3 linked regions of the Sus scrofa genome follow. The main gene of each other region encodes a partner of the protein of the gene in region 2 in a complex. Links are inferred from orthologs where the notes say so. Each region holds a gene or a part of one and is shown on either strand. Other genes may lie near its edges.

Evidence for each region. The genes of interacting proteins can lie anywhere in the genome.
Region 1: the proteins of RHOA (region 2) and ARHGEF28 are in contact, whole or in part, in a crystal structure (PDB 6BC0), measured with the Homo sapiens proteins. The link is inferred for Sus scrofa from reciprocal best matches to the Homo sapiens genes RHOA and ARHGEF28. Residues at the interface, in NP_001300870.1 of Homo sapiens: Arg5, Val38, Phe39, Glu40, Asn41, Tyr42, Val43, Glu54, Ala56, Trp58, Arg68, Leu69, Leu72; in NP_001171164.1 of Homo sapiens: Lys1140, Ile1142, Arg1144, Glu1145, Val1146, Ala1147, Asn1148, Glu1149, Phe1154, Ile1156, Ala1158, Ser1159, Ser1160, Pro1163, Glu1164, Met1165.
Region 3: the proteins of RHOA (region 2) and ARHGEF25 are in contact, whole or in part, in a crystal structure (PDB 2RGN), measured with the Homo sapiens proteins. The link is inferred for Sus scrofa from reciprocal best matches to the Homo sapiens genes RHOA and ARHGEF25. Residues at the interface, in NP_001300870.1 of Homo sapiens: Arg5, Tyr34, Pro36, Thr37, Val38, Glu40, Asn41, Val43, Asp45, Glu54, Trp58, Asp59, Ala61, Gly62, Gln63, Asp65, Tyr66, Asp67, Arg68, Leu69, Leu72, Pro75, Asp76; in NP_891992.3 of Homo sapiens: Tyr163, Val164, Glu167, Thr171, Met174, Tyr175, Asp178, Cys253, Lys256, Pro257, Glu260, Ser264, Arg275, Arg281, Leu282, Asn285, Asp286, Ile289, Lys290, Val292, Gln293, Arg294, Met296, Lys297, Gln299, Leu300, Leu301, Cys327, Pro330, Lys331.

Annotation. Positions count from the first base shown.
Region 1 is NC_010444.4:83,033,254-83,036,753, forward strand, and holds part of ARHGEF28 (rho guanine nucleotide exchange factor 28), read left to right. Parts: intron 1-2,376; coding exon 2,377-2,631; intron 2,632-3,500. UniProt on the Homo sapiens protein: Functions as a RHOA-specific guanine nucleotide exchange factor regulating signaling pathways downstream of integrins and growth factor receptors. Functions in axonal branching, synapse formation and dendritic morphogenesis.
Region 2 is NC_010455.5:31,928,708-31,932,207, reverse strand, and holds part of RHOA (transforming protein RhoA), read left to right. Parts: intron 1-113; exon of another isoform or gene 114-129; intron 130-2,705; 5' UTR 2,706-2,707; coding exon 2,708-2,863; intron 2,864-3,500. UniProt on the Homo sapiens protein: Small GTPase which cycles between an active GTP-bound and an inactive GDP-bound state.
Region 3 is NC_010447.5:22,876,726-22,879,027, forward strand, and holds part of ARHGEF25 (rho guanine nucleotide exchange factor 25), read left to right. Parts: coding exon 1-83; intron 84-205; coding exon 206-301; intron 302-363; coding exon of another isoform or gene 364-380; coding exon 381-457; intron 458-622; coding exon 623-689; intron 690-878; coding exon 879-982; intron 983-1,160; coding exon 1,161-1,230; intron 1,231-1,348; coding exon 1,349-1,438; intron 1,439-1,535; coding exon 1,536-1,628; intron 1,629-1,798; coding exon 1,799-1,849; intron 1,850-2,038; coding exon 2,039-2,116; intron 2,117-2,276; coding exon 2,277-2,302. UniProt on the Homo sapiens protein: May play a role in actin cytoskeleton reorganization in different tissues since its activation induces formation of actin stress fibers. It works as a guanine nucleotide exchange factor for Rho family of small GTPases.

The DNA of each region.
Region 1 (3,500 bases), on a different chromosome or scaffold from region 2:
TGGCTTCTGCATGCCATGGGCACAGTCAAAAAAAGAAAAAAGAGAAAGGGGAAGGCCTCATCATTTTGTTCTTAGTAAAAGAATGAAAACAAAATCAAGACTTTCAGTTTGTGTTACAGTTATATTCTCTCTGTCAGATGGTGTTAGGTCAGTTCGTGCCCCTCTGAGAATCATCTCACGCCAAATTCCAGGTAGAATGCATGAACGGATTGCCTGCTGTGTGTTGGAAATGAGAAGTGTGACTTCCTCAGATAGGGTGGTCCTAGGGGCTGAATGGACTGCCATCTCCTTAGTTCGCTTGGATCTTTCCAACCAGTTCTCTCTCTGGCTTCTGGGAACATTAATTCATGTGGCTCTGTTGTGGCGGTGCCTTTCGAACTTGAACTTGATACCCTTCGCCTGGGGACCTTGTTTACACAAAGACTCTGATTCAGTAGGTCTGAGGTAGAACCCCAGGTAAGCCTTTCTAATGAGACTCCCAGGTGGGCCTGATGCTGCACATTCTGTGCAAGCTGTTATAAGACAGTAATTTGTCCCCGAAGATCTGCAGTCTCCAAGCCTTTTCCTGGCCTTACTCTAAGTCACCTTGTAACTCAGCTTTGATTGGATTATCTCTCCTCAACTTTCCTATACATGAAATATGCTCTTTAGAAAGAAGTACCTTTCTTTTCTTTTCTTTTTTCTTTTTTTTTTTTTTGGAAGGGCAGCTGCTTAGTTGGGTGGCAGGTGGAGTAATGTAGTGAAATAAAGGAAGTGTATTCTTTCACGGGCAGTGGGAAAATCTTCCTTGTTAACAGTGGGTGTCACAATCTGTTCCTTGGTTTCCTGACAAAGCCAGCGTGCATCTTTTGAAAACATTTAGAGGCTGGATCATTTAGACCCTTTGGAGGACTTGTTCTTGTTCCACTTTGCTGCTATTTCTGTTGCTCTAGACTCTAGAGAATAGGTCATTTGCTCTGTTTTTCTTTTCTCCTCTCCTTCTAGGATTTTTCTGATCTCCCAAAACTTTCCCTTTTAGTTCCATTCACCTCAATAAACATCAACTACCTGGGGGTTTTAAATCAAATATTAAAAAAATAGCTAAATTTAGTTTCATCTGGACCTCCAGGAGATTGTATCAGAAACTCCTCCAGAATTTTTAAAAAATAATCTAGAGATAAGTGATTTGGCCAGTATTTCAAGGAGTTAACAACTGGCATGATGATTATCTACTTTTTTTTTTTTTTTTGTCTTTTTGCCTTTTCTAGGGCCGCTCCCCTGGCATATGGAGGTTCCCAGGTCCAAACAGAGCTGTAGCTGCCAGCCTATACCACAGCCACAGCCACAGCAATGCGGGATCCGAGCCGTGTCTGCAACCTACACCACACACAGCTCACGGCAACGCCGGATCCTTAACCCACAGAGCGAGGTCAGGGATCGAACCCACAACCTCATGGTTCCTAGTCGGATTCCTTAACCACTGAGCCACGGCGGGAACTCTGATTATCTACTTTATTGGCATGAGCATGGCGGACTTACGCACTCAGCACCCTGCCTTGGTCCCATTTTTTTTTAGGTTGAAAAATGTTTTAATATATATCATTAACATATTTATCTTTATGCTAATGCAGTACTAAACTGTAATTTTGAATATTATTATTTTTTGGTCTTTTTAGGCCTGCACCCGTGGCATATAGAGGTTGCCAGTCTATAGCACAGCCACACCAATGCCAGATCTGAGCTGCATCTGCAACCTACACCTCAGCTCACGGCAGCACCAGATCCTTAACCCACTGAGCGAGGCCAGGGATCGAACCCACAACCTCATGGATACTAGTCAGGCTTGTTTACCACTGAGCCATGTCGGGAACTCCTGAATAGTATTTTTTATGGAGAAAGGGAGCTAGGAAGGCAAATGAGTTGAGGACCCATTCAAGTCACCCTGCAGTTCCCTTTCGGGAAAGGACTTGAACTTGGGCTTGTAGCTCAGTTAAATTCTAAGAAGCTTGGTGTGGGGATTATTGGAATACTTATTATTTTCTGGGAATATTATTGTCTGGGAAGGTGGAAGGAAAACTGAACTTGGGATATAACACATTCACTGCTCTAGGGAGGAAGGTCAGACCTGTCTCTGGAACTCCTGGCAATCGCATGGTCACAGTGTTTCAGATGAAGCATCTGATAAATAAATCTTCTTAATGACCTATTTTAACCATCCTTTTAGGGAGGAAGGGTGTAGAGTGAAGACAGAGTATTTGAAGTTAATCCAATATTTCTGTTACAGAATTTTTTGCTGTCTGGATCATATATTTAACTGTATTTAAAACTAAAGAAAAAGTATCTTCCTTAGAAGACTGGCTTATTTCATGGTGTTTGTTCTTTCTTTTTCCCATGCAGAGAGCACTGAAGAACAGAAAGACTTATGCAAAGCTCTTTGCTTAATTAAAGACATGATTGCAGCCGTGGATTTAAAAGTCAGCGAGTATGAGAAAAAACAAAAATGGCTTGAGATCCTAAGTAAGATCGAAAACAAAACATACACCAAGCTCAAAAACGGCCACGTCTTTCGGAAGCAGGCGCTGATGAGTAAAGAGAGGACCCTTCTGTATGAGGGCCTTGTTTATTGGAAAACTGCAACAGGTCGTTTCAAAGGTACAGTGGCTGGGACAGGCCAATTTCTCCCTCTTTCATGCACCTGATTCATTTAACAGAAGACAGATTACAAAAACCAAACCAAACCAAACCAAAAACAAAGAATGTTTCAGCAATGCAGGCACACACACAAACACCGGGTCAGTGGAAAGATTCCTGTAGGATTGAGTTGGAAAGGTCAACAGACCAGGGTGCCCCAGGCTATAAGCTCTTGGGGGCAGTTTGTTGCCACAAGTGAAGGGCTTCTTAGGTATTGTGTGGGTTTTCAAGTTTGAGATGTTTGAGTCAAAGGAACTGAGAATTCTGCTAATAGTTGGTGCAGAAATATTATTCAGGCAAATGTAGTGTGTTGAAAGTGCAGTGGTACACATACACACCCGGAGTGTGTTGTGCCAAGCGAGCCTGGGGCTCAGACCATCGAGGGGAGAAATGAATTTGAAACATCATCCTTGGGACTGAGCAATGTAATGCATAAATATACATGCTGATGTGGATGTGCTGTTTTCTGTTGGGCATTAACCTCCTAATCTGGTTAACGTCTAAAACAGTTTATTCTGATCCTTTAAGGGCTGACTCTGTAGCTGCACCTTGTCTGAGACTTTCTCTACCCTGGCCACTGGACTTAAAACCCTAGAATGGCCTCTGGAGTGTAAAAAATTTACAGACGCCCAAGTCTCCTCCCAGAGGTTCTGACTTTATTGATGTGAGGATGAAGCCCAGGCATAGGGATGCTGAAAAGTGCCTATGTGAGTTTGAAGGCAGGATTAAGCACAGCTGGCCTGATTTCCTTGTTTCTAATGTATCTTAGTAACTTCCTTAGGTAAGCAATGAGACGAAGAGGTTGCTACATTCCAAGTACCCCAAGGTTG
Region 2 (3,500 bases):
AGGGGTCCAGTCACAGCTGCATCCACTGGCCTATGCCACAGCTGTGGCAACTCGGGATCCAAGCCACGTTTGTGACCTACACCACAGCTCATGGCAACACTGGATCCTTAACCTACTGAGTGAGGCCAGGTATTGAACCCGCAACCTCATGTTTCCTAGTCAGATTCGTTAACCACTGAGCCACGACAAGAACTCCTACTGTTTTTTTAAATTTAAGAACATTCAGCAGTTTTAGCTCCTATGTTTGGGAGTGTAGTCCATCTTGAGCTAGTTTTCATCTGATGTGAGCTCTAATTTCCTTTCTTTGCATGTATCTATTCAGTTGTCAGTTGTCTGAGCACCATTTGTTAAAAACGCTGTTTCTTCCTCCATTGAATTGTCTTGGCATCCTTGTTGAAAATCACTTGACCCTGAATGCAAGGGCTTATTTCTAAACTCTTCAGTTCTACTCAATTGATCTGTGTGTTTTGTTTGTTTGTCTTTTCTAGGGCCGCACCCGCGGCATATGGAAGTTCCCAGGCTAGGGGTCTAATCTAGCGGGATCCAAGCTGCGTCTCTGACGGCAACGCCGGATCCTTAACCCACTGAGCAAGACCAGGGATTGAACTGAAATCTTCATGGTTCCTAGTTGGGCTCATTAACCACTGCTCCACGATGGGAACTCCAATCTATGTGTTTTTTGTTTCGTTTTGTTTTGGGGGAGAGTGTCTCTTTAGGGCCACACTGCAGCATATGGAAATTCTCAGGTTAGAGATCAAAGCAGAGCTACAGCTGCCGGCCTATGCCACAGCCATAGAAATGCAGGATTCGAGCCACATCTGCAACCTGCACAGCAACTCATGGCAACACAGGATCCTAACCCACTAAGCAAGGCCAGGGATTGAACCTGCATGCTCATGGATACTAGTTGGGTTCATTTCCTCTGCGCCACAGCGGCAGCTCATATCTTTTTTTTTATTATTATTATTATTAAAATATAGTTGATTTACAGTGTTGTGCCAGTTTCTGCTGTATATCTGTCTGTCTTTACAACAGTGCAACACTTTCTTGATTACTGTAGCTTTAGAGTAAGTTCTAAGATCAGGAATTGTGAGTCCTGCAACTTTGCTCTTATTCAAGATGGTTTTGGCCATTCTGAGTCCATTGAATTTCCATTCTCTCTTTTTTTTTTTTTTTTTTTTTTTTGGCTGTTCCCCCAGCATGCAGAAGTTCCTGGACCAGGAATCGAACCCAAACCACAGCAGTGACAATGCCATATCCTTAACCTGCTAAGCCACCAGGGAACTCCCTCCATGCATATTTTCTGATCACTTGTCAGTGTCTGCAAAGAAGCTAGCTGGGATTTTGATAGTGATTGTGTTAAATCTGTAGATTAATTTGTAGGATATTCCCATTTAACAGTATTTAAGTTTTCAGAGTATGTTTTGTACTTCTTGTGCTTAGTTTATTCTTATTTTATTCTTTTTGATGTTATTGTAAATAAAATCTTAATTTCATTCTCAATTTGTTCATTGCTAGGGTATAGAAATACAATTGATTTGTTTTGTTTTGTTTTGTTTTTTTAGAGCTGCATTAGTGGCATATGGAGGTTCCCAATCAGAGCTGTAGCCACCGGCCTATACCAGTGCCACAGCAGCGTGGGATCCTAGCCATCTCTGCAAACTGCATCACAGCTCAGGGCAATGCTGGATCCTTAACCCACTGAACAAGGCTAGGGATCAAACCCGCATCCTCCTGGATACTAGTCGGGTTCGTTAACTGCTGAGCCACAATAGGAACTCCGCTTTTTGTGTGATGACTTTGTATCCTGCAACCTTGCTGAATTTATTAGTTCCGATAGTTTTTTAGTGGATCCTTTAGGATTTCCCATGTATAATATCATGTCACCTGCAAATTAAGATAATTTTACTTCTTCTTTTCTGATCTGAATGTCTTTTATTTCATTTTCTTGCCTAATTGCCAGAACTTTTAATATTATGTTGGATGGAAGTGTCAAGAGTGGACATTCTTGGAGTTCCCGTCATGGCTCATTGGTTAACAATCCAACAAGGAACCATGAGGTTGCAGGTTCAGTCCCTGGCCTTGCTCGGTGGGTTAAGGATCTGGCGTTGCTGTGGGCTGTGGTGTAAGTCCCAGGCGTGGTTTGGCTCCTGCGTTGCTGTGGCTCTGGCTGGCGCCTACAGCTCCGATTTGACCCCTAGCCTGGAACCTCCATATGCCATGGGTACAGCCTTAGAAAAGGCAAGAAAAAAAAAGAGTGGACATTCTTGTCTTGTTCCTCATCTTGCAGGACAATTTTTAGTCTTTTCACCATTAAGTATAATGTTAGTTATAGGTTTTTGATATGACTTACTGGTCCTAAGTGGAAAGGTATACTGGTGTTTTATTTTCTTTTTTTTCCCCCCTTTTTCGGCCACCCCGTGTCATATGGAGTTCTCAGGCAATCCAAGCTGGAGTTGGAGTCTACGCCACAGCTGTGGCAACACCATGTCCTTAACCCGTTGCACCAGGCTGGGAATCAAACCTGAGCCCATGAGCAGTAGAGACACTGTCAATCCCATTGAGCCACAGCAGGAACTCCAGCATTTTGTATTTTGATGTGTTAATAAAGGCTTGTGCCACATGGCCAGAAAAGTATTTGTCATGGCCTGAGACTATTATGGCTTCTTGTGCATTCTAGACAACACTTTGATTTTATGTTTCAGCAATGGCTGCCATCAGGAAGAAACTGGTGATTGTTGGTGATGGAGCCTGTGGCAAGACTTGTTTGCTCATTGTCTTTAGCAAGGACCAATTCCCGGAGGTATATGTACCTACCGTGTTTGAAAACTATGTTGCAGATATCGAGGTGGATGGAAAGCAGGTGAGTATACTTTGCATAACAATTGGTACTGTTTTGCATGTTAGGCTATTCATACAGCCTGTAGAGAATTAGGCCTCTTGGGGGGGGGGGCAAGTTGATCCACTTTTAATAATGGAGTCAGAAGAAAAATCTGGTTTTTCCCCCCAAATCCCACTCCCCCCCCCAATTATTTGGGTTAACACATTTCAGAATTTTAAGTAAACAGTTGTTGCAGCTGGGTGAAGGTAGCCCTGTGTCCATCCACCAGGAAGCGCTGTCATTATCTGCACTGCCATCCAGCTCTCAAGGGGGCTATCAGACTCCAGCAGCCTGGGTCTGCTCTGTAACTATTTCAGAGCTCCAATTTGCTCCAGGCGGGTCAAGAGCTCCCCTCTCTAGTGCATACTTACTGGATCAGTGCATGCATCCACCTATACACGCTTTACCAATAAAGACCCAAGGTACTGTTCTGGCTCCCTTGAGCTGTTGGAGATGATCTTGAATCTCGTTGGTGTCACTGGTAGCTGTGATATCGACAAATTCCAGAAGCCCTTCTTTGAAGGGCAATTGGCTGAGGAGCTCCTGGGTCTTTCTGCAGAAGGGACAGGTGGGCTTGATGAGAACTACCGCCATATTCATATGTATTTCACATTGGGAA
Region 3 (2,302 bases), on a different chromosome or scaffold from region 2:
GCCTAAGAAGATGGTTGGATCATTCCAAACACTGTCTCAGTGTGGAAACTGAGGGAGATGGTGGCCAGGCTGGACCATACGAGGTGAGCAGGGAACACCACAGAAGCATGTAGGACATCCACAAAGGACCCTGGGAGAGAGGGCATCCAGGGGGCCACTAGTCACTGGGGAGACACAGCTACTGTCCCTGACTTCTGGCCCCCAGAACTGGATGCTGGAACCAGCTCCAGCTACAGGAGAGGAGCTGCCAGAACTGACCCTGCTGACCACCTTGTTGGGGGGGCCTCAGGATAAGACGCAGGTATGAAGAAACGAGTCTGGGCTAGCTCCTCTCTCCCAAGAGCGTCCATTTGCTTACTCTAGGTTGTTCGTCCTTCCAGCCACCTGAAGAGGAGACTTTATCCCAAGCTTCTGAGAATGAGGAGGAACAGAAGAAGAAGGCTCTGGAAAGGAGTATGTAAGTGTCCGCACACTCTCCCTTCCCGAGACCCCTCACGACTTCCAGATGTCTGTCTCTCGCATTTTAGATCTGAGACTTGAAATTTCCTCTGAGGTTGGCTGTAGGAACCAAGGGGCTTCTAGTCCAGGAGGGAGGAAGTGGCTTAACCTGTTCTCTTCCCAGGTATGTCCTGAGTGAACTGGTAGAGACAGAGAAAATGTATGTGGACGACTTGGGGCAGATTGTGGAGGTAGCTCCCTTCTTCCTTCCCAGCCCTGGCCCTGCCCTTTCCCTCTCCCCAGGGCTAATGTTAGGGGATGCCTTGGTGCTCCTCTCTCCCACTTTCGCAGGCTCCCCTACATCCTGGACTTCTTGGGGAGGGGAGGTTCCTGCCAGGGCTGGCATCACACACAGATGCTCCCACCCAACCTTCCCACAGGGTTATATGGCCACCATGGCTGCTCAGGGGGTCCCTGAGAATCTCCGAGGCCGTGACAGGATCGTGTTTGGGAACATCCAGCAAATCTACGAGTGGCATCGAGAGTGAGTGGTGGATCCCTGAGGGCGAGGGGGAAGGGCATTTGTCTGTATCCTACCCATGGACCCAGTGTTGCTTGAAGAATGTCTGGAGAGACTTGTGGGGGACACTACTAGGGCAGAGAGCTCTGGATTGCTTGGGGTGAGGGTGTTTGACCTGCCTTTTCCCTGCCTACCGGTGCAGCTATTTCCTGCAGGAGTTACAGCGGTGTTTGAAGGATCCTGATTGGCTGGCTCAGCTATTCATCAAACATGTGAGCCTTGAGAGGGTGGGGGCCCAGGAGAAGTGGGCTCTGGGAGTGGGTCAGGGCTCTCTGGCGATATGCCCTCTCGTCACTCACTCTACTCTTTCTTAAATTTCACCCCTGTTAGGAGCGCCGGCTGCATATGTATGTGGTTTACTGTCAGAATAAACCCAAGTCCGAGCATGTGGTGTCAGAATTTGGGGACAGCTACTTTGAGGTCAGTGGCCGAGATGCCTTGGGGGAAGGGGAACAGAATCATCAGCACGAGCAGGCTTTCCAGGCTGCAAAACCACTCTGTCTGTCCCTGTCCCCAGGAGCTCCGGCAGCAGTTGGGGCACCGCCTGCAGCTCAATGACCTCCTCATCAAACCAGTGCAGAGGATCATGAAATACCAGCTGCTGCTCAAGGTCAGGGCCACCTGTTCCCTGGGGGCACAGCTGGCTGGGATGGCCCTGTCCTCATTCATCTCCCCAGGGTTCCTCAGGCTCCCTGCCCAGACTTCCTGAGGGTCTGCACTTGTGTCCCCAGGGCAGGACGTCCTCATGGTCTCCCTGAGCATTTCTTTTCTGTGTCTTAGGATTTTCTCAAGTATTATAGTAGAGCTGGGATGGATACCGAAGAGCTGGAGGTGAGGACCCCAGATCTCATGGGACACATCATGCCCACCTTATCTTCTTCGTGTCCTGGATTCCTCCAGCTCCTTGGGTGGTGTAGAGCGGCCTCATTTTTAGGAGGAGGCTGATTGAGGGTCGAAACATGGTCCGATGAGGCCTCTTTCCCAACCATGACCATGTTCCTCTCTTTACCTGTGTCCCAGCAAGCTGTGGAGGTCATGTGCTTTGTACCCAAGCGCTGCAATGACATGATGACCCTGGGGAGACTTCGGGGCTTTGAGGTATGAGGCCAGAGCACTCGTGAGGTCCTTACCGGGAATTGTCCTCTCCTGGGGCTGACCCCATGGTTGGTTGGAAGTGTCAGGGGAAGGAGGGAGGAGCAGAGGGTTGCCCCTTTTCTCTTTGTGTGTTTTCTCGAAGGCCACTCTCCTTTGGTTTTAGGGCAAACTCACTGCCCAGGGGAAGCT